7 linked regions of the Macaca mulatta genome follow. The protein of the gene in region 1 purifies or fractionates together with the protein of each later gene. This does not show direct contact. Links are inferred from orthologs where the notes say so. Each region holds a gene or a part of one and is shown in the gene's direction. Other genes may lie near its edges.

Region 1 (4,034 bases):
CACGGTGCTCAAGCCCACACTGAGAGAGAAATTTCCAGTTGCAAAAGGGAGAAGAGAAACGCTGGAATACTAGCATCGGACGTTAGGACATAGATGTGGTGGTTTTAAAAATCATTTCATCATCTGGAGTTTGACCCCGAGGGGAGTCTTTTCACTCTTCAGCCCTCTGAAAGCATTCACTAGCATCTGAATATTGTTCTGAGTTTGTTGGAGCAGTGAAATCTGGTGAGAGAGAAGGGTGGAGGAAGGAAGGAGCTGTTGTATTTGGCGGCTGGAGTCAGGTAGAGGAAACTGCTACAATCCCGGGAAAGAACAGAAAAGTAGAAAGAGAGGAGTTCCCACACGCAGCCAATGTCCATGGCCTTAACTGTGCTTGGGAAACAAGATCCTGGGCCAGGGGTGTTCCCTCGTTTTTCAAAACTAAATGTGTCTGAGACAGCTACAAAGTGTATTAAGGGACTTGAGAGACTACTTGAGTTTTTTTTTAATCTTGAGTTCCTTTCTTATTTTCATTGAGGGAGAGCTTGAGTTCATGATAAGTGCCGCGTCTACTCCTGGCTAATTTCTGAAAGAAAGACGTTCGCCTTGGCTTCTTTCCTAGGCCCCCAGCCTCCCCACGGATGGCAGAAACTTCTGGGTTAAGGCTGAGCGAACCATTGCCCACCGCCTCCACCCACCCCCAGCTAAGGCACGCCGGCAGGGGGGGCGCCCAGCCCCCCAGCAAACGCTCCGCGGCCTCCCCCGCAGACCGCGAGGTGGGGGCCATCGGGGAGGGCCGAGCTGGGGGCAGCTCGCCACCCCGGCTCCAAGCGAGCTGCCGGCGATCTTCGCGGTCCTCTGGTCCAGGCCCCGGCTTCCCCCGCGAGGAGCGGGAGGGAGGTCGGGGCTTAGGCGCCTTTGCGCACCCGCCAGTGCAGCGCCGGGCCCCGAACCCCAGGCCCCGCCCCAGGTTCCCGGCCGTTTGGCTAGTTTGTTTGTCTTAATTTTAATTTCTCCGAGGCCAGCCAGAGCAGGTTTGTTGGCAGCACTACCCCTCCAGCAGTCACGCGACCAGCCAATCTCCCGGCGGCGCTCGGGGAGGCGGCGCGCTCGGGAACGCGGGGAGGCGGCGGAACCGAGCCGGGGCCACCTTAAGGCCGCGCTCGCCAGCCTCGGCGGGGCGGCTCCCGGCGCCGCAACCAATGGATCTCCTCCTCTGTTTAAATAGACTCGCCGTGTCAATCATTTTCTTCTTCGTCAGCCTCCCTTCCACCGCCATATTGGGCCACTAAAAAAAGGGGGCTCGTCTTTTCGGGGTGTTTTTCTCCCCCTCCCCTGTCCCCGCTTGCTCACGGTTCCGCGACTCCGACGCCGGCAAGGTTTGGAGAGCGGCTGGGTTTGCGGGACCTGCGGGCTTGTACCCGCCCGGACTCGGACGGGCTTTGCCACCCTCTCCGCTTGCCTGGACCCCTCCCCTCCCCGCCCTCCCGCTCGCCGGTCCATTTGATCAGCGGAGATTCTCGGCGGCCGTGCCGGGGCTTCCCCGCAGCCCCTGCGCGCTCCTAGAGTTCGGGCCGTGGCTTGTCCGGATCTGTGTCTTTTGGCTCCGAGGCCAGTCGCTGGGCTTCCGAGAGGGGTCCGGGCTGCGTAGGGGCGTTTTGTTTTGTTCGGTTTTGTTTTGTTTTGTTTTTTTGAGAGTGCGAGAGAGGCGGTCGTGCAGACCCGGGAGAAAGATGTCAAACGTGCGAGTGTCTAACGGGAGCCCTAGCCTAGAGCGGATGGACGCCAGGCAGGCGGAGCACCCCAAGCCCTCGGCCTGCAGGAACCTCTTCGGCCCGGTGGACCACGAAGAGTTAACCCGGGACTTGGAGAAGCACTGCAGAGACATGGAAGAGGCGAGCCAGCGCAAGTGGAATTTCGATTTTCAGAATCACAGACCCCTAGAGGGCAAGTACGAGTGGCAAGAGGTGGAGAAGGGCAGCTTGCCTGAGTTCTACTATAGACCCCCGCGGGCCCCCAAAGGCGCCTGCAAGGTGCCGGCGCAGGAGAGCCAGGATGTCAGCGGGAGCCGCCCGGCGGCGCCTTTAATTGGGGCTCCGGCTAACCCTGAGGACACGCATTTGGTAGACCCAAAGACTGATCCGTCGGACAGCCAGACGGGGTTAGCGGAGCAGTGCGCAGGAATAAGGAAGCGACCTGCAACCGACGGTAATGACCCCTTCCCAACCGACGGTAATGACCCCTTCCCAACCACAGAAAGTCTGTGTCTGGGGCCCCGCTTTGCCTGCTGGAGGGTGCTAACCTTAGCTTGCTTTTCGGCGTATTCTGATTTAGCTTTGGGAGAGCGAACTTTATTGGTCTTAGGTGTTCAGTGCTACCTGGCCCACTGCTTGTCTGTGACTTTTAAGTCAGAAACTGGAAATGGTAAGATCCGATAATTTCCCTAACTTAAGACATCGCCGTCCCTCCCACTAGCAACCCCTAGGTATGTGACAAAGTTGGGATGTTTATCAACGGTCCGCCTCCTGGCTAGGGAGAGAGCTCTGGGGCGGAGAATGCACTTTCTTCTTTTTGAAAACAACCTCATTTTGTGTCCTTAAAGGCTACTGAGGATGACGGATCCTGGATTGTGGGTGGAGGGAGTGGGTTTTTCGTCCCGCGACTATTGGGCCAACTTCTGCCAGCCATTGTTTTTTCTAATAAAGATTGTGTGTTCTTTTTAAAAATTTCCTCTGCTCTTAGATTCTTCCACTCAAAACAAAAGAGCCAACAGAACAGAAGAAAATGTTTCAGACGGTTCCCCAAATGCCGGTTCTGTGGAGCAGACGCCCAAGAAGCCTGGCCTCAGAAGACGTCAAACGTAAACAGCTAGGTGGGTTGATCACTAAAGGAGCACGTACTGAAACCCGGGGCCATCAGACCTCACGATACCTGATCTTGCTGGTTGCTGGCAGATTACAATCTTTTGGGGTTTTGTTTTGTTTATACTTTCGTGAGGTCAAAAAAGTAGCAATGGGAAGGTTGGGGATACTGTAATTCTTCTATGCCTAGAGATACTTTCTCTTGAAACAGTAGACCAGAGCAACTACTTGTAACCAAGGCCCCATCGGGTAAGAAGGTCATTTCCCTGTGAGTCCCACTAAAACATGTTGGGAACAATAGGTTCTTCGCCCATCCGAACAAGAACTGGGGTACTCCCTCAGTCCCACTTCATGAGAATTCATTTCCCAGAGGTTCAGCTTGAGTCAGTAACAGATTTTGAGCCATACATGGAAAAATGGCAAGTACATTATTAAGTTTCAATTTTAAGGGGGAATGTTTGGTAGAAGTTGCTCACCTTTGGTTATGCAAGGGATTAGAGATGTCAGTGGGTGGTATGTTGTGTTCTTTGACATTTTCATAAACTGTCACTTTCCTTGTTTGCTCCTAAGTTTGGAGAGAGAAGGAACCAGTATTTGCAAAAACCAAAATGGAAAGATAAAAAACATTACTAAAGTTTCTACAGAATTTCTGGTAACACTGAAGTTGCAAAGCAGAAGTTAAATTAACTCTCGTCAGTAAGCAATCCAGGAACACGTCAGCCAGTGTATGCTAATTGTGCCGTAACAGGGTGATTTGGATATTTGTAGGGGAAATGGGTAGTAAATATCAAGACTGGTGACCGCAGGTCAGCCCAGCACAAAGGAAGTGGAGATTTTTCCATGCACAAGAATCTGATCACTGTAAATAGCTAATTTGAATAATTCAGTCCCCAAATGTACATGGATTGGCTATTCATAATGATCGAACTACATATATTAATAGTTTGTTAGCTTCTTATAGACCAAGACTGACCTCTTTATTTTCTAAAGCACACACGTAGCTTAGCATATGAGGCGATCTTAATATTGATGTTAACTTTTTAAATCCTCATTTATAAAAAATTTTAAAACAACAGGGATTACGGTGGGATTCAGGTGTGTTGTGTCTTTAAATTGTATATGTGACTTTACATATCTTATATTTTTCAGAGCTTATACAAAACGGCACTATAGAACCTCTATTTTATAGCACCA
Region 2 (3,500 bases), on another chromosome or scaffold:
GCCAGGCTGGTCTTGAACTGCTGACCTCAAGTGATCCGCCCGCCTTGGTCTCCCAAAGTGCTGGGATTACAGGTGTGAGCCATCGCACTCGGCCAGCAAATGAGATTTTCTTAACTTATTATTAGAAACTCAGGTGGCCAGGTGTGGTGCCTTATACCTGTAATGTCAGCATTTTGGGAGGCTGAGGCAGGCAGATCAGTTGAAGCCAGGAGTTCGAGACCAGCCTGGCCAACATGGCAAAATCCCATCTCTACTAAAAATACAAAAAATTAGCTGGGCATGGTGGCACATACCTGTAATCTCAGCCACTCAGGAGGCTGAGGTAGGAGAATCACCTGAAGCTGGGAGGCAGAAGTTGCAGTGAGCCACTGCACTCCAGCCTGGGTGACAAAGCGAGACCCTGTCTCCAAAAAAAAAAAAAAAAAAAAAAAAACTCTGGTATATATCTCTATTTCCTCACCTCCAAAATGGGGATAATGGTACCTACTTAAGGAGTTACTGTGAGAATTACAAGCTTTTCCTAAAAGTGTGGAAATGACAGATACTATTTATTATTATTATTAACAATAGTGAAACATCAGGGCAATTCCTATTAAAGTCAGAAACAAGGGATAAGATTTTATGACCAATGTTAAACGTTCAGTATCCTTCGATAATTTTTAACCAGTGCAGTAAAATATGAAAAATAAATGAGGTAAGAAAAACGATAAAACTAGTAAATGTGGATAGTAATAGATTTATCCTAATAACACATGTTAGTTTCTTTTTTTCCTTTCCTATCTTAGCTTTGCTATCAGTTTGGCTTAAACATATTTTAAAATCTGATATGCTGAGAGATGACTTTCTAATTTGAGAAATTCAGAGGATAATATTTAAATGTTTGGAATCTTCTCTAGGTATGTGAAGTATACACACTTCATAGGGAAACATTTTATCTTGCACAAGACTTTTTTGATAGATTTATGTTGACACAAAAGGATATAAATAAAAATATGCTTCAACTCATTGGAATTACCTCATTATTCATTGCTTCCAAACTTGAGGTAAGTTCTCAAAGTTTATCCTTAGATATATTTATCCCAAACTTTTTTTTTAATCAACGTATTAATCCCAAAGAATACTATGTCTTATATTAACTCCTTAGAAAAGTGAATGTTTTTGTTTCTCAGTACATTTTCTGAACATTATCACAGGGATAAATGATAAATTATCATAGTTCCCTCTGTAATGTCTGAGCCTTATTATAAATCTCTGGTTTAGATTCTGGGATTAGTATCTAAGTGAAATGTCCCATGGCTCATTCTGCCAAACGAAACATATTGATGCTCTATTTATATACATAATTATAGCATTTGTATTAAACAGAATGACCTTTGAAAACTAAACAGCTAATAAAATGAAATGAAATGAATACTGTGTTGGGTTAGAATAATGGTTTATCCAGCTTTTTTTTTTTTTTTTTTTTTTTTATTGAGACAAAGTCTCACTCTTTCACCCAGGCTGGAGTGTAATGGGATGATCTGGGTTCAGTACAACCTCTGCCTCCCGGGTTCAAGTGGTTCTCCTGCCTCAGCCTCCTGAGTAACTGGGATTACAGGCGCTTGCCACCACGCCCAGCTGATTTTTGTATTTTTAGTAGAGATGGGGTTTCACCATGTTGGCCAGGCTGGTCTTGAACTCCTGACTCAGGCGATCCACCCGCCTCAGCCTCCCAATGTGCTGGGACTACAGGTATGAGCCACCGCGCCTGGCCAGCCTAATATTTTTGTATCTCATGGTGCTGCCATGATAGAAGGCAACTCCTTTCTTAAGATTTTCCTTCGCATAAGCTCAATTTACGTTTCTTAATACGTGATGGATATCATCAATACTTTCACCTAAGACTTTTATAGCTGGTATCATTTTGAAAGAAGAGAGATTGTGATCATATATTAAGTGTTTTCCTTTTTCTTTTTAATGTCTTTTGAGCTTTAAGAGCCATCCCCAAATTCTGCTGAATTTGGCACATAAACTTGTGTTCAGTCTATCCTTACTTGAAATTATACTGTTTTAGACAACTTTCTAGACCGAAATCCTCATCTTTTAGCCTGTTCTCCTATGTGGGAGACACCTAATCCTTTGATGATTCTAATTCTTCTCTGGAGTGCTAAAACGGACCTGTTAGCCAAACTGCATGAAGTATTTTTTGACTAACCATATTTTTGTACTAGGGTAAAGGAAATGTTTTTAGTTTCTAGACCTTATTTGTTTGGTGCTTTGCTTTTGTTTTTTGAGACACGGTCTTGCTGTCACACAGGCTGGATGCAGTGGCACTATCACACCTCAGTACAGCCTTGACCTCCCAGGCTACAGCGATCCTCTCACCTCAGACTCTGGAATAGCTGACTACAGGGATGCACCACCATGCCTGGCTATTTTTTCTTGTAGAGACAGTGTTTCTCTTTGTTGCTCATGCTGATCTTAAATTCCTGGGCTCAGATGATTCTCCTACCTCGACCTCCCAAAGTGCTGGGATTATACGTGTGAGCTGCTGCACTGCACCCAGCAGGGTGTCTCCTTTTGATCTGACCAATGTATCAGGCAATCTTAAAACAAGTTTGGTTGTTCTTTAACTGAAATGACATACTCTAGTTGTGTTAATGAAAATTCAAAGTCAATTCTATGAAAAGAAGTCTTGATAATCAATATAGTTACTAGATACCTAGATATGAAAATGTCTTACTAAGTTTGACTATAGAATTATTTTACTGAGATTTACATTTACTTAGTGAAGCTGTCCTTAAATCTGAAGCTTGTGTGTGATTTGTATATAGATGGTCCCCTACTTACCATGGTTTGACCTACAATGTTTTGACTTTATGATGGTTGAAAACAACCTGCATTCATTATGCCCCTTGACATACAACAGGGCTATGTCTGCATAGGTTGAAAATACCGTAAGTTGAAAGTACACTTTCTGGCCAGGTGTGGTGGTTAATCCCAGCACTTTGGGAGGCCGAGGAGGGCAAATCATTTGCAGTCAGGAGTTCGAGACCAACCTGGCCTACATGGTGAAACCCTCTCTCTACTGAAAATACAAAAAATAGCTGGGCATAGTGGCACACACCTGTAATCCCAGCTACTGGGGAGGCTGAGACACAAGAATCACTTGAGCCTGGAAGGTGGAAGTTGCAGTGAGCCGAGACTGCACCACTGCACTCCAGCCTGAGTGACAGAGTAAGACTCTGCCTCAAAAAAAAAAAAAAAAAGAAAATGTACTTTTTAAATTTTTGCTTATTTCTCCAAGAAAATAAAAATGTACTTTCTACTTAAACGATATTTTGGTTTATTGGGATGTAACCCCATTGTAAACTGAGGAACATTTGTAATTAATTTCTATCTCAATTGTACTCAATAAAAAAATTACAATTTAAAGGAAATCTACGCTCCTAAACTCCAAGAGTTTGCTTACGTCACTGATGGTGCTTGCAGTGAAGAGGATATCTTAAGGATGGAACTCA
Region 3 (4,277 bases), on another chromosome or scaffold:
ACTGGAAATGCATCAATTTTTTATTTCCCTAGCCTTACCTTATACTATAATATAGAATCAATTTTATAAAGGCAAAAATTTGATTTACTATGAGATCAGTAACATGGTTTTAAAGTCAAAAGATTTATAGAAGTAGTATGTCCAATTCAAACAGAATTTTGCCGGGTTTTAATTTTTCTACAAAGCACTGAAGTAAATAATTTTGTGAAAAGTTTTTCTTTAATATGTTTTAAAGGGTTTCAAGTATTCTACAGATAGAGATTTTGGGGAGAACACCAAATTCTTTCCAAAAAGACAGCTATTTCAAGTTTTCTTTTACTCCATTGTAGAAGGTTTTAAAGACTTTTTTTCTCCAAAAGCTCATTTTCACCTGAAATAATTGTATTCAAGGGTTTCTCAGCAGGTAAAGTATACATTCTTACAAGGTTTCAAATTTCAGATTTCCAATAATGCATTTAAACTGAGCACTCCTCTTTCTGTGTATGTATCTATTATCTGCAGTTCTATTATTTACACTAAATTTTAGTCTTTTTAGCTCCTCTGAAATACGTTAGTGAACCCTCAGCAGTTACTAACCACTTAATAATTGTGAACCCGCCAGCCCCTTCAAGTAGATCGTTAACCATAAGAGTGCCTGACAATTTCCAAACCATACCCTCTGTCTAAAAGGAAAAGATAGGGCTTTGTGAGGCAGAAAGGAAGCGAAGGAAAACAAAACAAATGTAGCTCATGCTGAAAGTGAAAAGTGCTTGAACAGATTAGTATTTTCTTTTCTGCAAGGCATCCTGCCAAACTTTTTCTTTATTTTTTTAAGAGAAGAGTTATTTTTTGGTCTGATTTTTCAGTTTCTTGGAAAGTATTGGTATTTACCACCCCCATCGGCCCTTCATAATTATTGTTAGTTGTTTTGTGTTTTTCCCATCCGTCCACGTCACACAGTGAGGATACCCCCTGCTTCACCCTGTCAAAACCCCAACTCTGGGCGACCCTGGGTTTGGAAACTCCGCCGACTCCCGACGACACGTCCCACTCTCTCCCACTAACGCCGCTTATTTTAGTCGCAGGATCCCCCTACTACAGTTTCAGTGAAAGCCGGAAATTTTCATTTAACTCCCCTGCCCCCCCAACCCCCCCGCCCCGCGCCTTTCTAGCCCCCGACTCGTAGAAGGGAGCTAGGGAGCCCGGAGCTCGGAGCACTGCCGGGGCTTGGCCGCCTCCTTTCTCTCCGGAAGGCTTTAATTTGCACACTTTCTTGCCACTGCGCCACGAGCCCCCAGCCTCGCCGCTGGGTGGGTCTCCGGCAGAGTTGGCTTCTCGGGTCCCTGCCCCCACCCCGCGCGGTCGCCCCCGCTGCCTCCCTGGCTGGGGCCCCCAGCGCCGGCCAGAGCCCCGCGGCCCCCGTCCGCCCCCAGCTAGCGGCGCGGGCGGCGCCCTCCGCCTTCCCTCCGCCCTCCGCCGCTGTGCCCACCCCCTCGCCGGAGAGAGTGCTGGTAACTCCTTCCCCAGAGTCTGATTACCTGCTCCGCGAGGCCGCGGACACGTGCGGAGAGCCGACTGACACTCGCAGCCCCCTCAGGAGGCCCGACGCGACTGGGCCCCTCAGGTGAGGAGCTGTGCGCTCGGGTGGGTGGGCTGCGGGGTGGGGGGTCCCTGGGGAGATATGGGGGATTGGCCGGGGTCCGAGGCAGAACTGTGGGTGGGGTAAGTGGAGGCTGGCGGGGGGTGGGGGGGACCTGTGTTTCCCTGGAATCGGCTTTGGTTAACCCCTTACGAACTGAGACGGCGTTGGTTATGGGGGCCAGTTTTGGGGAGCTAGAGGATTCTAATCTGACGAGAGGGGGAGATCCTACGCTAGGGACACCCGCGACACCGAGATCCTGCTTCCACGTACCCGTGCGCACACACACTCACACAGAACACTCCTCATCCAGTTTCTCCAAACGGAACTGGAACTCTACTCGGACATTCACATAATAATTCACATTTAGGGTTCAAAATGCACTGCCTCTAGGGACTCCATGCTGGAGAATGTGCTTGCATTTCCCCCACGAAAACTCCCTCGCCAGCTCGCTGAGGTGTGGGTGTGGGCTCCACCTTCCCCTCCACGAGATAAATGTTAACGCAGGCTTCCTGCGGGCGTGTTATGCACAGAAGAGTGCACGCAGCCGGCCGGTGCCCAGGCTTGGAGCCCCACGAAGACGCACGTTTGCTTTAGTTTCCAAGTTTACTTTTATCATTTAAAATATTGGAGTTAAACACACGCCCCGTGGTGAGCAGCCCTTGTCCCCGCAGGGCGCCCGTCCGTGTGCATATGGGCGCATCTGCGTGTGCGCACACGCGGGAGTCGCGGTCCCCGGTGTGGCCTCTTGTTGCCGTGCTGGTGGCGACCCTTGTGGTGCTTGGCAGGCTTCGGGAGAGGCGCATGAAGGATTTCATTGAGTGTGAAGACAGAGAGCAGAGACAGAAAGCAGAAGGAGGCGGCTGCAGCCTTTGTAGTCGCGGAGGAATGCGGAAATGTTGAAGCACTATGTCAAACTTTTTTTGAAATGGGGTCAAGTCACATTCAGCCAGCGTGGGAAAGCAACAACAACAACAAAAAAAAAGTGGAGGAGAGGGGGGGAAAAGGCATTGCTGCTCCCGTTTCTCTCCGCCGAAGCCGACCGTCTGGGGGGCGAGTGGGGGGAGAGTCAGGGTAGTGCGGGGCCCGGCGGGGGCAGCAGGCGAAGTTCCCTGCGGGGGTGGGACGTCCCCGACGCTTCCTTCGCTGCGGAGCCCGGGGCTAGACTCGAGCGGGAGGGGGATGGGGGGACGCAGGAGAGGCGGGTTGGGCGGCCGGCGGCGGCTCCCCGGCTACCTGTGTGGCCCTCGACCTGGCTCAGACGCCCGGGCAGTCCTTGGGGGCTCTTTCCTCGGCTTTTAAGGAAAGTTCTGAATGGAGTGAGTGCCAGAAGCACTGCTTTCGCCGCGGTCCGCTCCACGCGCTCATCGTGGGGGTCGCGCCGTTTGTTTAATTCCTGGCAAAAGGCGAGCGGGGCAGCGGTTGCGAGGCAGGTAATTCCGAGGTGCCCCGGGAATTCCGGACACGCGGCCAGCGTGGTGAAAGTCCTGCCGAGGCCGCGGCGGCCGTGGGGGAGGGAGGCTCCCTAGGTCCCAGATAGCTGCTGAATGGGGAGGGAAAGTTAGGGTACCCTTCTCCGGCGCTTTGTTATGCAGAGGGCTCCGGGGGCGTCCGGCTGCAGCCTGGACCCGGCCTTTAGCCGGAGAGGGAATGGGGCAGCCACCTCCGCTACCTACAGCGGGGTGGTCCTGGGAGTGGGAAAAGGTTCGCGAGTCCGGGCCCCGAGGGCAGAGACCTTGTTTCTCACCCCTGGAGGCGCAGGGTTTAACCCCCCACCCCCCACCCTTTGAAAGAGAGGTTGAGTTTTGCTCAGGTCGAAATCAATTTAAAACTTCAGGACGAGGCGCGATTAAGCTATCCTCTTCCTGAAATTATTCTTTAAGAAGACGACAAGCGAAATTGTGACGAACACCCCTTTCTCCCACCCTTGGGATCCCGTGGGGGACAGTGTCTCCCCTCCCCCAGGACCTCTCGTTCGCCCACCCCCGATTAGCCCCAACCCTCCCCGACCAGATGGCTGGTCTTCCCAAGGTTTCCACCAGGGAGGTCCTCCCAGTCGGAGAGAGAATTCCGTTTCCAACCGAGACTCCTTTACCCCAAAGAGACCATTTGTGTATGCGAGTCGTTTTTAAATGTCTCCTCGTAGAAAAACTGAAAGTAGAAAGAAAGGAAGCAATTTCTGAGCAGATGTCTGACCACCCCTTCTCGCACACTCACAGCATCGGGTTACAGGGTCCTGGGAGCCCCCACCCACATTCTGCGGCCCCACACGGATGGACCCACAGTCCTTCCGCTCCAGCTTGTGCGCGACCCTTGAACGCCCTCCGGCACCCCTGGACCCCATCTCCCTGCACGTCCGGGCCTCAGGAGGCGGGGAGGGTAGCGACGCAACACAATGATATAGGGATAAATATTAAGCCGTGACATTGACGTGCCCGGCGCCTCCCCTCCCCCGCGCTCCCGGCACACTCTGGGCTGCTCGGCACGCCCCCTCCCGTTCCACTGCGTCCCGCGCCGCTCGCTCATCCCCGAGGGGCCCCTGCAACCTCTCCGCGCGAAGACGGCTTCAGCCCTGCAGGGAAAGAAAAGTAACTTCGCTTTTCTCGGAGGAACCAGGAAGGATTAAGCGGCTTGGGAGAGGGCAGGAGCGCGCGGAGGG
Region 4 (3,500 bases), on another chromosome or scaffold:
AGGCCGGGCGCGGTGGCTCAAGCCTGTAATCCCAGCACTTTGGGAGGCCGAGACGGGCGAATCACGAGGTCAGGAGATCGAGACCATCCTGGCTAACACAGTGAAACCGCGTCTCTACTAAAAAAAATACAAAAAACTAGCCGGGCGAAGTGGCGAGCGCCTGTAGTCCCAGCTACCCGGGAGGCTGAGGCAGGAGAATGGCGTGAACCCGGGAGGCAGAGCTTGCAGTGAGCCGAGATCGCGCCACTGCACTCCAGCCTGGGTGACAGAGCGAGACTCTGTCTCAAAAAAAAAAAAAAAAAATACAAAAATGGCCAGGCGCGGTGGCCCATGCCTGTAATCCCAACAGTTGGGAGGCCGAGGCCGGTGGATTGCCTGAGATCAGGAGTTCAAGACCGCCCTGATCAACATGGTGAAACCCCGTCTCTACTAAAAAACAAAAATTAGCTACTCGGGAGGCTGAGGCAAGAGAATCGCTTGAACCCAGGAGGCGGAAGTTGCGGTGAGCTGAAATTGCACCACTGCACTCCAGCCTGGGCGACAGAGCAAGACTCTGTCTCCAAAAAAAAAAAAAAAGCGAGAGATAAAAGAAATGGTAAGTGGACACATTCACATGGTAACTTAAATTTTTTCGTAATCTGTAGTGGTGGTTTCAAATTAAAAACAAAAGTGATAGTAGTAGTGTTACGGTAATAATGGTTTTGATGAGTTCTCTATTAATAAGGATAGCTTTCTCTTTCAATTTGATAACTCATGTGCGTAACAGGGAACAGTTTCATTTTCCATGGGAGGTGGATTGTATTTTGTTTGGGTTTATCTTTCAGGAGGCATTATATCTTCTATGGTTTATTGAAAACTCCAAACATTTTTACTGGATTAAGCCTTGCTTTTCCCCTCCTGCTAGCACAGCGAAGACACTGAAACATTATTTTGTTTCCACCACTTATTTTTAGGACTTTGAAGAATATCCTGAACACAGAACGAACTTTTTCTTACTACTTCAGGCTGTCAATTCTCATTGTTTCCCAGCATTCCTTGCTATTCCACCTACACAGTTTAAACTTGTTTTGGATTCCATCATTTGGGCCTTCAAACATACTATGAGGAATGTCGCAGATACGGGTAAATAAATTTAAAAGATGTTCTTTTATTCATTTGCCTGTCAATCCAAAAATACAAATATAGATAGTTATATACTTGTACATAGGAAGGTATTACTTGTTCAGAGTTTTGAATGCATGAATTACATATATGAACATCTGAGAAAATCCTATAAGCAGTTTAATCAACTGTTCCACTGCACTCCAGGTGAGTCCATAGGCAGAATTGAGTTATGGGAGAGGGGCCTAGTAATAATTGGTTTATGTAATACCAAATTCTACTGAGTAGTGATGTTGTAGAAGTTCATACAGAATCAGCTAAGCTTTCAGAAATGGTGAAAGGGTGGTAATGGTCGTAACTTAGATTATAATTTTTCTCCATAGGCTTTTTTTTTTAATATTCACAAATTTTTTTTTTAATTTCAATAGTTTTGGGGCAACTGGTGATTACATGAATAAAGTCTTTAATGGTGATTTCTGAGATTTTGGTGCACCCATCAGCCGAGCAGTAGGAACTCTACCTTATGTGTAGTCTTATCCCTCACCCCCTCCCACCCTTCCCCACAAGTCCCCAAAGTCCATTATATGATCTTTATGCCTTTACATCTTCATAGTTTAGCTCTCACATAACTTAGATTATAATTTATAAGTAAGCCAGCATTGGATATAGTTGTACTCCATTATCAATTTAAGAAACCTTAGGCAAGTAATTATTAGTCATCATCCCCAAAAAAAGGGAGAATAGGGTTAGATTCAGAATACTTTGATAAGAGCTAAATACTATCATGAGTGCTGTCAGTCTGTAGTAACTTTCCATTGGTATTCTATGTCTTTTAGGCTTACAGATACTTTTTACACTCTTACAAAATGTTGCACAAGAAGAAGCTGCAGCTCAGAGTTTTTATCAAACTTATTTTTGTGATATTCTCCAGCATATCTTTTCTGTTGTGACAGACACTTCACATACTGCTGGTAAGAATTTAATACGTTTAAGATTTAAATGTTGGGCCGGGCGCGGTGGCTCAAGCCTGTAATCCCAGCACTTTGGGAGGCCGAGACGGGTGGATCACAAGGTCAGGAGATCGAGACCATCCTGGCTAACACAGTGAAACCCCGTCTCTACTAAAAAATACAAAAAACTAGCCGGGCGAGCTGGCGGGCGCCTGTGGTCCCAGCTACTCGGGAGGCTGAGGCAGGAGAATGGCGTGAACCCGGGAGGCGGAGCTTGCAGTGAGCTGAGATCAGGCCACTGCACTCCAGCCTGGGCGACAGAGCGAGACTCCGTCTCAAAAAAAAAAAAAAAGATTTAAATGTTAAGTGCCGGCCGGGCACGATGGCGCATGCCTGTAATGCCAGCACTTTGGGAGGTCGAGGCGGGGAGATCATGAGGTCAGGAGTTCGAGAACAGCCTGGCCACTATAAAAAAAATTAGCCGGGCATGGTGGCATGCGATTGCAATCCCACCTACTCGGGAGGCTGAGGCAGGAGAATGGCTTGGATCCGGGAGGCAGAGGTTGCAGTGAACTAAGATTGCACCACTGCACTCCAGCCTGGGTGACAGAGCGAGACTCTGCTCAAAAAAAAAAAACACTAAGATCTATGGTTATATTACATTTTGGAGTTAATAATTTTCTTCTTATCAACAGGTTTAACAATGCATGCATCAATTCTTGCATATATGTTTAATTTGGTTGAAGAAGGAAAAATAAGTACATCATTAAATCCTGGAAATCCAGTTAACAACCAAATCTTTCTTCAGGAATATGTGGCTAATCTCCTTAAGTCGGCCTTCCCTCACCTACAAGAGTAAATATGCCTTTTAATAAACGTAGAATGTTCCTGGTCGGGCACAGTGGCTCACACCTATAATCCCAGCACTCTGGGAAGTCTAAGATGGGAGGATTGCTTGGGCCCAAGAGTTGGAGACCAATCTAGACAACAAAACAAGATCCCGTCTCTACAAAAAAATGAGTCAGATGTGGTGGTGTGCATCTGTAGGGCCAGCTACTTGAGAGGCTGAGGCGAGAGGGTTGTTTGCATCCTGGAGTTTAAGACTACAGTGAGCTATGACCACGCCACTGCACACCAGCCCGGGTGACAGAGCGAGACCGTGCCTCTTTAAAAAAGCAAAAAAAAAAAAAAAAAAAGGCCACGCACAGTGGCTCATGCCTGTAGTCCCAGCACTTTGGGAGGCTGAGGTGGGTGAATCACAAGGTCAGGAGTTCAAGACCAGCCTGGCCAAGATGGTGAAACCCGTCTCTACTAAAAGTACAAAAAAATTAGTCGGGCATGGTGGCGGGTGCCTGTAATCCCAGCTACTTGGGAGGCTGAGGGACGGAATTGCTTGAACCCAGGAGGCAGAGGTTGCAGTGAGCCGAGAGCGCATCACTGCACCCCAGT
Region 5 (4,031 bases), on another chromosome or scaffold:
AACCAAAAGTTTGGGAGGTGGAAGAAATGCAACCGGTAGATCTCAGAGTCTGTGGGAGAAACTGATTCAGTGAGAATCTAGTTTTTCCGTCCAGTTTCTCCAAACAGAAACTAAGGCCGACTTTAGGGGCTTGTCCAAAGCTGGGCAACCAACTTGACAAGGTGAGGAGGCCTTGACTCCATGGCCTTTCCGTTCTGTTATATGCTGATTTAGACTAAGGCTCTCATACTTTATTTTTTTTTTTTTATTTTTATTTTTTTTTTTTTGAGACGGAGTCTCGCTCTGTGGCCCAGGCTGGAGTGCAGTGGCGCGATCTCGGCTCACTGCAAGCTCCGCCTCCCGGGTTCACGCCATTCTCCTGCCTCAGCCTCCCGAGTAGCTGGGACTACAGGCGCCCACAACCGCGCCCGGCTAATTTTTTGTATTTTTAGTAGAGACGGGGTTTCACCGTGGTCTCGATCTCCTGACCTTGTGATCCGCCCGCCTCGGCCTCCCAAAGTGCTGGGATTACAGGCGTGAGCCACCGCGCCCGGCCCAGCTCTCATACTTTAAAGTGCACAGAAATCTAGTTAAAATGCAGATTCTGATTCAGGTTAGGGGTGGGCCTGAGAGTCTGCATTTCTAACCAGCTCCCAGGCGATGACCATGCACGGGACAGGTCTGGGATCACTGTTTAACTAGCAGTGGTGTAGAGCACAGAATCTGGAGCAAGAAGGCCAGATTCCCAATCCTAGCTCTGCCACGGGCCAACCGAATGACAGTTGCCTCGGTTTCCGAGTTTTCGTGAAGATGTAGTGAGTCATTACATTGTGAGGCTTTGGAGCAGTGTTCACTAAGAACTGACTCTGACATTATTTATCGCATTCCTTAGAGCAAGCAGCCGGTGAAGTAGGGTTTGACGAATGAATAAGTGAATGAATGACCTTTGGAGAAAAATTCTTTCCTGGGTGACTAGAGTCCGAGAAGCAAAATGGGAGGGCTCGTGGGTGGGTAGGAGGCCCACCTCCTAGAAAGTTCTCTGCACCCGGTGGTCCAGAGGGCCCGGAGTGCCCGGAAGCCGGCCGGCTTGCGCTCAGCGGCCCAATGGGGCCGCGGGAGGGAGGGGAGAGCGCCCAGCCAGCCCTTTCCGTCCGGGGCGCCGCAGCCCCGCCCCTCGGAGCGTTGCGACGTCCGAGCATTCCACGGTTGCTACATCGTCGCGAGGGGCGGGGCGCCTGTCAGGGAAGCGGCGCGCGCGGGCGGCGGGCGGGCTGGGGATCCGCCGCGCAGTGCCAGCGCCAGCGCCAGCGCCAGACCCGCTCTCCGCGCTCTCCGGCCCGTCGCCTGCCTTGAAACTCGCGAGCCCGCACTCCCGCCCTGCCTGTGCGCTGCCCGAGTATGGAGCTGCTGTGTTGCGAAGGCACCCGGCACGCGCCCCGGGCCGGGCCGGACCCGCGGCTACTCGGGGACCAGCGTGTCCTGCAGAGCCTGCTCCGCCTGGAGGAGCGCTACGTGCCCCGCGCCTCCTACTTCCAGTGCGTGCAGCGGGAGATAAAGCCGCACATGCGGAAGATGCTGGCTTACTGGATGCTGGAGGTACCGCCCGGACGCGTCCCCCTCCCCCACCGCTCCCGGGTCTGGACACACCGGGGCCGCCCTGTCGGGACATCGCGGTCCCCACAGCAATCTGCAGGATGCTCCGAGGCTAAGACCCCCGGGGCCTGGCCTTTCACTAGGGCACCCTAGCCAGCTGCCTCCCTTGCTTTCCCGAGCCCTAATCGGCTCCTCCCAACTGTGAGTGCCAGTCACTTGGCACCGTAACTGTGCCTCTCTTCGGGCCGAGAAAACGGGACCAGGGACATCGTCTCCCCTTCGGCTTCTCACAGCGTCTCCCACTTCCCTCCCCCTCCCGGCCTTCTCCGGAGAGCGCGCCTGGAAAACCCTGGGCTCGGCCGCCCCCGCCCGGGAGCCGGTTCCTGTGTCTGTCGCGGGGTTCTGGCGGGGAAGGCGATGGGGGTGGCGCGCGCCCTGTTCCGGCCGACAGGGAAATGAAAAGTGCGGGAGGCAGTGGCAGGAGCCTCCTCCCTTCCCTTCGGGTGTGTGCAGTGGTGGCGGTGATGGGGGTGAGGTCCCAGCTCTCTGGCTACCATGGGTGACCCTTGCGTCCCACTTCCCGTCGCTGTGGGGGAGGGGAGTCTCCGTTTGGAATCCTTCTTGAGGAAGGGCTCCTTGACTTTACCACCCCCACCCCACCAAGGGGAGAGGGGAGGAGGCCGCGCAGAGGAAGTGGGGGGCGTCACCTTGGGGAGGGCCCATCCTCCTCCTTTATTGGTCCTTGTCTCTGTAAGTAGCTTACCCTCTCTCCCGTTTTTGCTCCCTATCCCACCTCACTTCAGCGCCCCCACCCCCGCGCTGCTGTGTTCCCCACGCTCCGGCCCCAGCAGTGACTGTGCGCCCTCCCCCAGGTATGTGAGGAGCAGCGCTGTGAGGAGGAAGTCTTCCCCCTGGCCATGAACTACCTGGATCGCTACCTGTCCTGTGTCCCCACCCGAAAGGCGCAGTTGCAGCTCCTGGGTGCGGTCTGCATGCTGCTGGCCTCCAAGCTGCGCGAGACCACGCCCCTGACCATCGAAAAACTGTGCATCTACACCGACCACGCTGTCTCTCCCCGCCAGTTGCGGGTGCGTGTGTAACTCCCCCCACCCCCGACACATACTGTCTCCCCACTTTCCAGGAAAAGGAACGCTTGAGATATCAGAGGCTTTCTGCTCCCTGGAGAGGGCGCAAGGCGATCAGGACCTTTGGGAAGGGAATTAGGGTGGAACAAACGATGGGGCAGTGTGGTGTGATGGTTAGTATCACTCCCGCCTAGGCTCGAGCTGCAGTCAGGCATTAAACGCCCTCCTGACCTCCAGGGGATGCCACTCCTTCCTGGTCTTTCCCTCAGATAGCAACAAGTCAAACTGCATGTCTACACTCACTAGTACTTTGCCTCTGGGTTTACGCAGCCACCATGAGTTATTTATTGGCAGCAGAAGGGCATGCCTGCACACCCCCACTGGAGTAGGGGAGTGGAATGTGCTTCATGTGGGGGAGGGGGTTTGCCTTGGTTGAGTCTTTATCCTCATGTGGACTTTGTGATAGAAAAACCTCCCAGAGCCAATTAAAGCCAGGCTCTGATTGCTTTAAGGAAGGGCTGATGTATTTCATCCCACCTTCTTTGCTTCCTCTTATATCCCGGAAGAGACAGCTTCTTCCTAATCCTTTCCTGTCCTCATTCTGAGGAACTGGAGCAGCTGCTTTGGGCCTGGTGGAAACAGCTCCCTCTACCCCCCTTAGCCAAAGGCCCAAGCTGAGGGACAGGCAGGGAGGTGAGCTGCAGCTGCTTCCGATGTGATAATGGTGCCCCCTCCCCCGGCCCGCCCTCTCTGACCAAGGTCTTTCATAACCCTGTGGGGAGCTGCTGTCACTCCTGTGGTTTGGGAAGTGGCTCCCTGGGCCTCTTGCTGGAAACTTGGGCTGGGCTCAGACAGGGCAGGAAAGTCACCGGTTCTGTCCCGCCTCAGAAGGAGCCTCAGTCCCGGGCAGCTGCTGGATCTGGAAGAGGTTATTTAGGACATGCAGATTGTCTCCTAGGGGGCTGGGGGGAGAGGGTGGGTGAGCTGGCACTTTCTTCCACCTTGCTCTGTGGCGGGCCAAGTCTTCTGCTGACCCTGAGAGGAGTCTCTGGGCCCCATCTCCCAGGGAGGAGGGCAGCAAGCAGGCTGCTGTGATTGGCTGGCAGGGAAGCCAGGGTACTGGGGCCCCCGACTGCTGTGAGTCGAGGAACAGGATTCCTCTTCCTGCCAAGTAGCTCAGAGATGGGAGTAGGAGGCCAGAGTTGGGAATCCAGGAGACTCCACAGCTCTTTGTGATGAATCTGGTAGTTTTTGGCAAGTCTGAAGGTGGAGCTAGTTTCCAGGGCCAGAGAGCAAGATGTTTTTGGAGGGGTTGGGGCTGGAAGGTAGAAGGGGAACTTCCTTTTTGTGAAAAGATGGAGGTGGTGTGTGTGC
Region 6 (3,500 bases), on another chromosome or scaffold:
GTAAAATTAACTGAATCTCTATTTTTGAACTGCATTTCTTTAAGTAACGTTAAACACCTTTCATGTGTTTATAAGCCATTTTTATGTCTTTTGGTGTGTGTGAACTACCTGTTTCTGTCCTTTACCCATTTCTTTTTTGGGTTGTGATCTTCTTTGTTAGGTATCTGGCTAATACAGTTGAAGAAGATGAAGAAGAAACCAAGTATGAAATTTTTCCATGGGCTTTAGGGAAAAACTGGAGAAAATTGTTCCCTAATTTCTTAAAGTTAAGGGACCAGCTCTGGGATAGAATTGACTATAGGGCTATTGTAAGCAGGCGATGTTGTGAGGAGGTAAGAATTTTAAAAAAACTTTACATATGTAATTTTTGTTTTCTGTTTATCTAATTATCCTTGTTTTTTAAATGTGCTTCTAATGTTTTGGTATTCTGGGTTTTTTTTTTTTTTTTAATATGTAGAGTAGACCATTGATCATTGCCATGAATACAACTTGTGTATTACAATGTTGCTGTCTTGTTATCACCATAACTAAAAACTGTCATCCAGGTAAGCCGTGCTCACGGCTGTAGTCCCAGCACTTTGGGAGGCTGAGGCAGGTGGATCTCCTGAGGTCAGGAGTTTGAGACCAGCCTGGCCAATATGGTGAAACCCCATCTCTACTAAAAATACAAAAATTAGGCTGGGTGCAGTGGCTCATGCCTGTAATCCCAGCACTTTGGGAGGCCGAGGCGGGCAGATAACGAGGTCAGGAGATTGAGACCATCTTGACTAACATAGTGAAACCCCGTCTCTACTAAAAATGCAAAAAAATTAGCCGAGCGTGGTGGCGGACACCTGTAGTCCCACCTACTCGGGAGGCTGAGGCAGGAGAATGGTGTAAACCCAGGAGGCGGAGCTTACAGTGAGCATAGATTGCACCACTGCACTCCAGCCTGGGCGACAGAGTGAGACTCTGTCTCAAAAAAGAAAAAGAAAAAGAAAAATACAAAAATTAGCCAAATGGGGTGGCCGATGCCTGTAATCCCAGCTACTTGGGAGGCTGAGGCAGGAGAATCACTTAAACCCAGGAGGCGGAGGTTGCGGTAAGCTGAGATGGTCCACTGTACTCCAGCCTGGGCAACAGAGCAAGACTCCATCTCAAAAACAAACAAACAAAAAATTGTTATTTCTATTTTTCAGAGCAGCCTACTTCTATAGTACGTACTTTTTTTTTTTTTTTTTTTTTTGAGACAGAGTCTCGCTCTTTCGCCCAGGCTGGAGTGCAGTGCTGCAATCTCAGCTCACTGCAACCTCCGTCTCCCGGGTTCACACCATTCTCCTGCCTCAGCCTCCCGAGTAGCTGGGACTACAGGCACCCGCCACCATGCCCGGCTAATGTTTTGTATTTTTAGTAGAGACAGGGTTTCACCATGTTAGCCAGGATGGTCTCGATCTCCTGACCTCGTGATCCACCTGCCTCAGCCTCCCAAAGTGCTGGGATTACAGGCGTGAGCCACCACGCCCGGCTTATAGTAAGTGCTTTTATTTTAGTGTATTTCTTCTGTCTAAAGGATCATCAATATATTGAAAAAGGGTGATATGAACAGACCAAAATATCTTATTTAGGATTAGAATAACACTGGAGTTGAATAACAATTTCTGCTCAATAAAGTATGTGAAATTTCAGGTTCCCAAAATTGAAACACTATTTAACATGTGTATTAAATGGTATACAATTTAAATTTTTTTTTAAATCATAACTCTTTTCACATAGAATATATTGTTTCCTTGATGCTAAATCTTATTAGGATAAATCAGCAGGACACTAAAAATTTAATAATCAAGTTATTTTATCAGATGTTCTGATTTTTTTTTTTTTTTTTTTTTTTTTTTTGAGACGAAGTCTCGCTCTGTCGCCCAGGCTGGAGTGCAGTGGCCGGATCTCAGCTCACTGCAAGCTCCGCCTCCCGGGTTTACGCCATTCTCCTGCCTCAGCCTCCCGAGTAGCTGGAACTACAGGCGCCCGCCACCTCGCCCGGCTAGTTTTTTGTATTTTTTAGTAGAGACGGGGTTTCACTGTGTTAGCCAAGATGGTCTCGATCTCCTGACCTCGTGATCCGCCCGTCTCGGCCTCCCAAAGTGCTGGGATTACAGGCTTGAGCCACCACGCCCGGCCAAATGTTCTGATTTTTAATAAAGTCAATATTTCAAACTACAGAAAAATTCTAGAGTAGAAAATTAAATGGAAAGCAGTGGTCACTGTAAGCTGTAGTATTAGTTCAGAAAAATATGATAAATGTGGGCTAGTTTATATACTTGCAAATCTTAAAATTTGATAGAATTAACTTACTCATTAATATACATTGACTTAGTGAGCACTTAGTAAGTATCTACCAGAAACTATATTATTTCTTTTAATTTAAAAATGGCAGCCAGGCATGGTAGCTCACATCTGTAATCCCAGCACTTTTGGAGGCTAAGGTGGCCTGGATCGCTTGAGTCAGGAGTTCAAGACCAGCCTGGGTAACATGGCAAAACACCATCTCCACAAAAAATACAAAAAATTACGTAGGTGTGGTGGTGCACACTTGTAGTTCTAGCTACTTGAGAGGCTGTGGTGTGAGAATCACCTGAGCCCAGGAGATTCAGGCTGCAGTGAGCCATGATTATGCCACTGCACTCCAGCCTCAGCAACAGAGCAAGACCCTGTCCCAAAAAATAAAAATAAAAAAGGCTTGAACAATAATAGCAGTATTACATCTATTAATTACAGGCAATAGGGATATGAATGTTTGTTATATTATTCCTAATGCTTTTTCATAATTTTAAAATTTAGCAACATTTAAAAAAATATTAATGGAACTTATTTTTCCTCTTCAAAAAGGTCACCTTATTTAAATGAATTTAATTCCATTATCCTTATCACAATACTTTGTTTCTTTCTGTAGCACTGAATAAAATTTGTAATTATTTATTTGCTTATCTATTGTCTAAACAATAAACTGTAAATGTAATGAAGTGAAAAATCTAGTACACTTCTAATATCTCCCATCTCTGTCCTCACACTTCAATTACAACAATCACGCATTATTCTCTTTTACTGAGAAAACAGAAGCAGAACAGACTGTCCACATGCTCACATCTTATCGTCCATCCTACCTACATGCATACCCCTATATTCTGCCTTCCCTTTGTTATTGTGAAAGAATGATCTTTGCTCCTATCCCAGTCCATTCCCTCTACTTGTGCACTAGATCTCATTTTTTCTTGCTTTCTCAAGGACATCACATTCCAGTAATTGTCCCCTTTCCAGCATTTCACATTTTTTATTTTATTGGATCACTGCCATCAGAATATAGAATTGCTCTAAGATATCCATCAATAAAAATAAAAACGAAAACTTTATCCCCCAGCTACCACTACATTTCTCTGCTTTGCCTTCCTTATAACTAAACTCCTTGAAGAATTGCTTGTATTCTGTCTCTACTTCTGTTCTTTCCATTCTCTTTGAACCTGTTATAT
Region 7 (4,219 bases), on another chromosome or scaffold:
GAACCCAGGAGGCGGAGGTTGCAGTGAGTCGAGATCGCACCACTGCACTCCAGCCTGGGAGACAGATACAGGCTCCGTCTCAAAAAAAAAAAAAAAAAGTAAAAAAAAATTTTTTAAACTGGAACACAGAGGATAAGTAATCCTGCCTCACCCCTTGCCTCTCGCCCTTGCATGGGGCGAGGCAGGATTGATCAAACCCAGAAAGACTGAGGATGGATGCTGAACACAAAACTGAAGGATGAATGGGAATTACCTGAATAGAACAGGGGCTTGAGTGCAACAAGAGGCGGGCATTCCAGGCAGAGGAGAGCAATGGTAAGGGCCCCATGGTAGGCATCCGAGTAGGAGGGTAGAACTATGATGATAGAAGACTGAATAACGATCGAATGAAACCAAATGATTGGGCGCCTTCTTTCGGATCCTTGACTTCCAGGGCCAGCAGTCTCTATTGGCTCTTATACCGTTGCTCTATGAGGTATCAATGTTTTTGTCCTTCAGCCTCCCCTCCAATTGTTGAGCTCCTGGTGTGTTTTGAGGAGTAGAAGGCAAAAAGAACCCTCTTATTTTTCTTTGGATCCAGAGAGAGATTGAGCAAATAACAAAGCAAATGGTGTAAAATGTCTTTTTGTTTAGTTTTTCTTGATCTTCCCATGAGAGGCAAATACATGTTAAGGATAGTTGAATCTGGGTAAAGGGTACAGAAATGTTCCTTACAAGATTTTTGTTGGCAACTGGTGCAAGTATGAAATTATTTCCAAATAGGAAGCTAAAACACACAAAACAATTGGCCTTGGGAAACTGGCCAATCTTGAAGTAATGAAGTAATATTGTTAAGGGACAATCAGTATTGTGAAAACACGAATACGCCCCCTCCCTCCCCCTCAAAAAAAACCCCCTAAATTCTGTTCCCCCGTTGCTAATGTGTGATCCTGGCAAAGTCATCTAAGGCGCTGAGCTTCAGTTCCTCCACCCCAGAGAGTTGTTGCAACGATCAAATGAAAGAACGTATATCAAAGCCTTTCATGAACTATATTATTGCTGCTACCGTAGAAATGGAAAGTGTACAACAATAATTTGGACTAGATCCAAAACTACTTTTGACACTTCTGAGACTGTGGCCGCGCCACTGTCACCTTCCAAAGGTCACCAGGCCTTTCCTGAGCTGATATTGGCAGCGCACACTCTTGCCCGGCTCACCTTTCCAGGTGGGCGGTGCTCGCGCTGCTCGGCTCTCCAGGTGGCCGCGGCAGCTGCCCCAGAGCGCAGGCGCGGAGGCAGACCACGGGAGAGCCTGGCCACGCCTTCCGACCTAGCCTCACTCTGGCCCCGCCCCTCTCGAACGCCTTCGCGGGATCGCCCTGGAAACGCATTCTCCGGGACAGGCAGCCGCCAATGGGAAGGGAGTGAGTGCCACGAACAGGCCAATAAGGAGGGAGCAGTGCGGGGTTTAAACCTGAGGCTGGGCCTGCTCTTCCCGGCGTGCTGCGGAGGAACGGCTGTTGGTCTCTGCTGGGTGCAGGTCCTCGGCTGGTCGGGGCTCCGGTGTTCTGCTTCTCCCCGCTGAGCTGCTGCCTGGTGAAGAGGAAGCCATGGCGCTCCGAGTCACCAGGGTGAGCCGCTACGGACTGCGAACTGACGCGGCCTTCTTCGCTGCAGCCTGCTCGCTCTGCCTCGCCTGCGGGAGCCCCCCGAGCGGGAGAGGGCCGCAGGAACGATTTGGGGAGGAAGGTGGGAGGGAAGTCACCAAGAGAGCGTCGAGGTGGGCCCAGGCCTGGTGGGGGAGTGTGGGGGACGATGGATGGAGGGAGGAAGGTGAGAAAGAGAACTGGACCGATATTGGATAAATGTTTGGGGGAGATGGAAAGTCGACTGGGAACCTTTTGAAAAAGTGATAGAGGGTCCCTGAGTGGGCCCGCCAGCAGCTCTGTAACCCCCTTCCCAGAGAGAAGGTGTCTGCAATTGGAGGCTTTTTCGGTTTCCTTTCAAACGTAAATTCTCGGTATTTTAGGGCTGGGCAGGACTAATCAGGGAATCCCTCAATTGGTAAATGTAGAGGTTGTCGGCGGAAACTGACTTGTCACGGCCGCAGAGTAGACTCTGGGACCCACGTTTTCCCTCGGAACCCATTTTTACTCGGCTTTCCTTCTGGGAACTTCTCTTCTGCCCCACCTTAATTAACCCTTGACTTACTCGAGCCTCCGTGGACCAGCTCTTAAAGTGGTCTTTGCTTCTTTCAGAACTCGAAAATTAATGCTGAAAATAAGGCGAAGATCAGCATGGCAGGCGCAAAGCGCGTTCCTACGGCCCCTGCTGCAACCTCCAAGCCCGGATTGAGGCCAAGAACAGCTCTTGGGGACATTGGTAACAAAGTCAGTGAACAACTGCAGGCCAAAATGCCTATGAAGAAGGTAACTGTCTTCCCGACCTAACTTCTGTCAGAGCTGGCCTTACAACTGTGGCCTTTGATGCAGAAACATTTCATTCTCTCTGTTTCATCTACAGGAAGTAAAACCTTCAGCTACTGGAAAAGTTATTGATAAAAAACTACCAAAACCTCTTGAAAAGGTACCTATGCTGGTGCCAGTGCCAGTGTCTGAGCCAGTGCCACAGCCAGAACCTGAGCCAGAACCTGAGCCTGTTAAAGAAGAAAAACTTTCGCCTGAGCCTATTTTGGTAAACTTATTCTTACCATTGTAGAGTCTGTTGATTATTTCTTGTCCCTTATTTCACTGCAAGAGCATTCAAATTAATACCATTTATTGAGTGCTTAGCATGAGGCAATCTCTGCCCAACATTCTACATGCATTAACTCACATAATCTTTACAGGTACTCTGAGGTAGGTATTGTCACCTCTACTATTTAAATCATGGCTTTAGAGAGGTTATGTCAGGGTCACACAGGTAAGTGGCCCATATGAGATTTAAGCTCAGGCTGTCTGGCTTCAGAATCTATGCTTTTAATTGTTAACTGTCTTATATTCCTTCGTTAATGATATTAAGTAGTACCTGCCTGAGCCAAAGGCTTTGTTGTCCAAGTACAAGCCACCTCTGCAGAATTTATCGGAGTAAACAGAATGTTCTCTTAAAATTTTTTACTGCCTAATATGGCTACTAAATAATAAACCTGTAACACTGGAAAATGCAAAAGAGTAAAACAGGAAGAATGCAACTTTTCAGGGAGTGGTTAAGAAGATGAATTAACACTTAGCCTCAAAACCAGTAACTTTTTATTAAATAAAAGGTATGTAAATGTATCCTATGATAGACCTCCCTGTGAAGGAAAAGTAGGTCATGTAGAGGAGGCTGCTTTGATGAAACTGCAATGAACTGCATTCTGAAGCTCAGTTTTTTAAACTTAATTAAAACCAGTTGGGAAAATTATCTGAAAAAAAAATTTTTGAGACAGAGTCTGGCTCTGTTGCCCAGGCTGGAGTGTAGTGGTGTGATCTCGGCTCACTGCAACCTCTGCCTCCCAGGTTCAAGCAATTTTCCTGCCTCAGCCTCCCTAGTAGCTGGGATTACAGGCGCACAACACCACACCCAGCTAATTTTCATATTTTTAGTATAGATGAGGTTTCACCATGTTGGCCAGGCTGGTCTTGAACTCCTGACCTCGTGATCTGCCTACCTCGGCCTCCCAAAGTGCTGGGATTACAGGCGTGAGCCACCGCGCCCAGCCAGTTAAGCTTCTTATATCTAAGGATAAGACATTGAAAACTATTGCTTTAGTGTTGAATTTCTGGGCATAGCACATGAAACATGTAGCCAGCATGGTCTTTGGGCATATCAAACTACATGATGCTTTCTTGAAAGGTCCATACCGATTCTTACCTTTGCTTTCCCACTTAGTAAGAATGCCTTCCCCACCCTTTCATTTAGCTAATAACCTTTTCATCCTTGAAAACAGCTCAAGCATCAACTCCTGAAGCTTTCCTGAACTTCTCCCATCTCCACCCCTGTTCCTAGAATCAGTCTTTTTGTTTGTTTTGAGACAGTCTCATTCTGTTGCCCAGGCTGGAGTGCAGTGATGCCATCTCAGCTCACCGCAACCTCTGCCTCCTGAGTTCAAGCGATTCTCCTGCTTCAGCCTCCCAAGTAGCTGGGACTACAGGCACGTGCCACCATGCCTGGCTAATTTTTCTATTTTTAGTAGAGACGGGGTTTCACTATGTTGGCCAAGCTGGTCTCGAACTCCTGATCTCGTGATCCACCTGCCTCA

Evidence for each region.
Region 2: the proteins of CDKN1B (region 1) and CCNE2 purify together in Homo sapiens (co-immunoprecipitation; 5 studies listed by BioGRID and IntAct, with this or other methods). This does not show direct contact. The link is inferred for Macaca mulatta from reciprocal best matches to the Homo sapiens genes CDKN1B and CCNE2.
Region 3: the proteins of CDKN1B (region 1) and CDK6 purify together in Homo sapiens (affinity purification with western blotting; 8 studies listed by BioGRID and IntAct, counting the BioPlex papers as one, with this or other methods). This does not show direct contact. The link is inferred for Macaca mulatta from reciprocal best matches to the Homo sapiens genes CDKN1B and CDK6.
Region 4: the proteins of CDKN1B (region 1) and XPO1 purify together in Homo sapiens (affinity purification with western blotting; 4 studies listed by BioGRID). This does not show direct contact. The link is inferred for Macaca mulatta from reciprocal best matches to the Homo sapiens genes CDKN1B and XPO1.
Region 5: the proteins of CDKN1B (region 1) and CCND3 purify together in Homo sapiens (affinity purification with western blotting; 9 studies listed by BioGRID and IntAct, counting the BioPlex papers as one, with this or other methods). This does not show direct contact. The link is inferred for Macaca mulatta from reciprocal best matches to the Homo sapiens genes CDKN1B and CCND3.
Region 6: the proteins of CDKN1B (region 1) and SPDYA purify together in Homo sapiens (affinity purification with western blotting; 3 studies listed by BioGRID). This does not show direct contact. The link is inferred for Macaca mulatta from reciprocal best matches to the Homo sapiens genes CDKN1B and SPDYA.
Region 7: the proteins of CDKN1B (region 1) and CCNB1 purify together in Homo sapiens (affinity purification with mass spectrometry; 5 studies listed by BioGRID and IntAct, with this or other methods). This does not show direct contact. The link is inferred for Macaca mulatta from reciprocal best matches to the Homo sapiens genes CDKN1B and CCNB1.

The regions. Positions count from the first base shown.
Region 1 is NC_133416.1:15,138,590-15,142,623, forward strand, and holds the start of CDKN1B (cyclin-dependent kinase inhibitor 1B), read left to right. Parts: upstream 1-1,234; 5' UTR 1,235-1,712; coding exon 1,713-2,187; coding exon of another isoform or gene 2,188-2,211; intron 2,212-2,721; coding exon 2,722-2,843; 3' UTR 2,844-2,851; intron 2,852-4,034. UniProt on the Homo sapiens protein: Important regulator of cell cycle progression. Inhibits the kinase activity of CDK2 bound to cyclin A, but has little inhibitory activity on CDK2 bound to SPDYA. Involved in G1 arrest. Potent inhibitor of cyclin E- and cyclin A-CDK2 complexes.
Region 2 is NC_133413.1:105,279,625-105,283,124, reverse strand, and holds part of CCNE2 (G1/S-specific cyclin-E2), read left to right. Parts: intron 1-896; coding exon 897-1,043; intron 1,044-3,415; coding exon 3,416-3,500. UniProt on the Homo sapiens protein: Essential for the control of the cell cycle at the late G1 and early S phase.
Region 3 is NC_133408.1:126,535,039-126,539,315, forward strand, and holds the start of CDK6 (cyclin-dependent kinase 6), read left to right. Parts: upstream 1-1,477; 5' UTR 1,478-1,603; intron 1,604-2,256; exon of another isoform or gene 2,257-3,051; intron 3,052-4,114; exon of another isoform or gene 4,115-4,276; intron 4,277-4,277. UniProt on the Homo sapiens protein: Serine/threonine-protein kinase involved in the control of the cell cycle and differentiation; promotes G1/S transition. Phosphorylates pRB/RB1 and NPM1.
Region 4 is NC_133418.1:63,249,455-63,252,954, forward strand, and holds part of XPO1 (exportin-1), read left to right. Parts: intron 1-953; coding exon 954-1,122; intron 1,123-1,937; coding exon 1,938-2,072; intron 2,073-2,746; coding exon 2,747-2,906; intron 2,907-3,500. UniProt on the Homo sapiens protein: Mediates the nuclear export of cellular proteins (cargos) bearing a leucine-rich nuclear export signal (NES) and of RNAs.
Region 5 is NC_133409.1:140,231,242-140,235,272, forward strand, and holds the start of CCND3 (G1/S-specific cyclin-D3), read left to right. Parts: upstream 1-1,231; 5' UTR 1,232-1,377; coding exon 1,378-1,575; intron 1,576-1,865; coding exon of another isoform or gene 1,866-2,075; intron 2,076-2,444; coding exon 2,445-2,660; intron 2,661-4,031. UniProt on the Homo sapiens protein: Regulatory component of the cyclin D3-CDK4 (DC) complex that phosphorylates and inhibits members of the retinoblastoma (RB) protein family including RB1 and regulates the cell-cycle during G(1)/S transition.
Region 6 is NC_133418.1:96,143,769-96,147,268, reverse strand, and holds part of SPDYA (speedy protein A), read left to right. Parts: intron 1-160; coding exon 161-332; intron 333-3,500. UniProt on the Homo sapiens protein: Regulates the G1/S phase transition of the cell cycle by binding and activating CDK1 and CDK2.
Region 7 is NC_133411.1:77,232,276-77,236,494, forward strand, and holds the start of CCNB1 (G2/mitotic-specific cyclin-B1), read left to right. Parts: upstream 1-1,419; 5' UTR 1,420-1,589; coding exon 1,590-1,610; intron 1,611-2,237; coding exon 2,238-2,408; intron 2,409-2,502; coding exon 2,503-2,673; intron 2,674-4,219. UniProt on the Homo sapiens protein: Essential for the control of the cell cycle at the G2/M (mitosis) transition.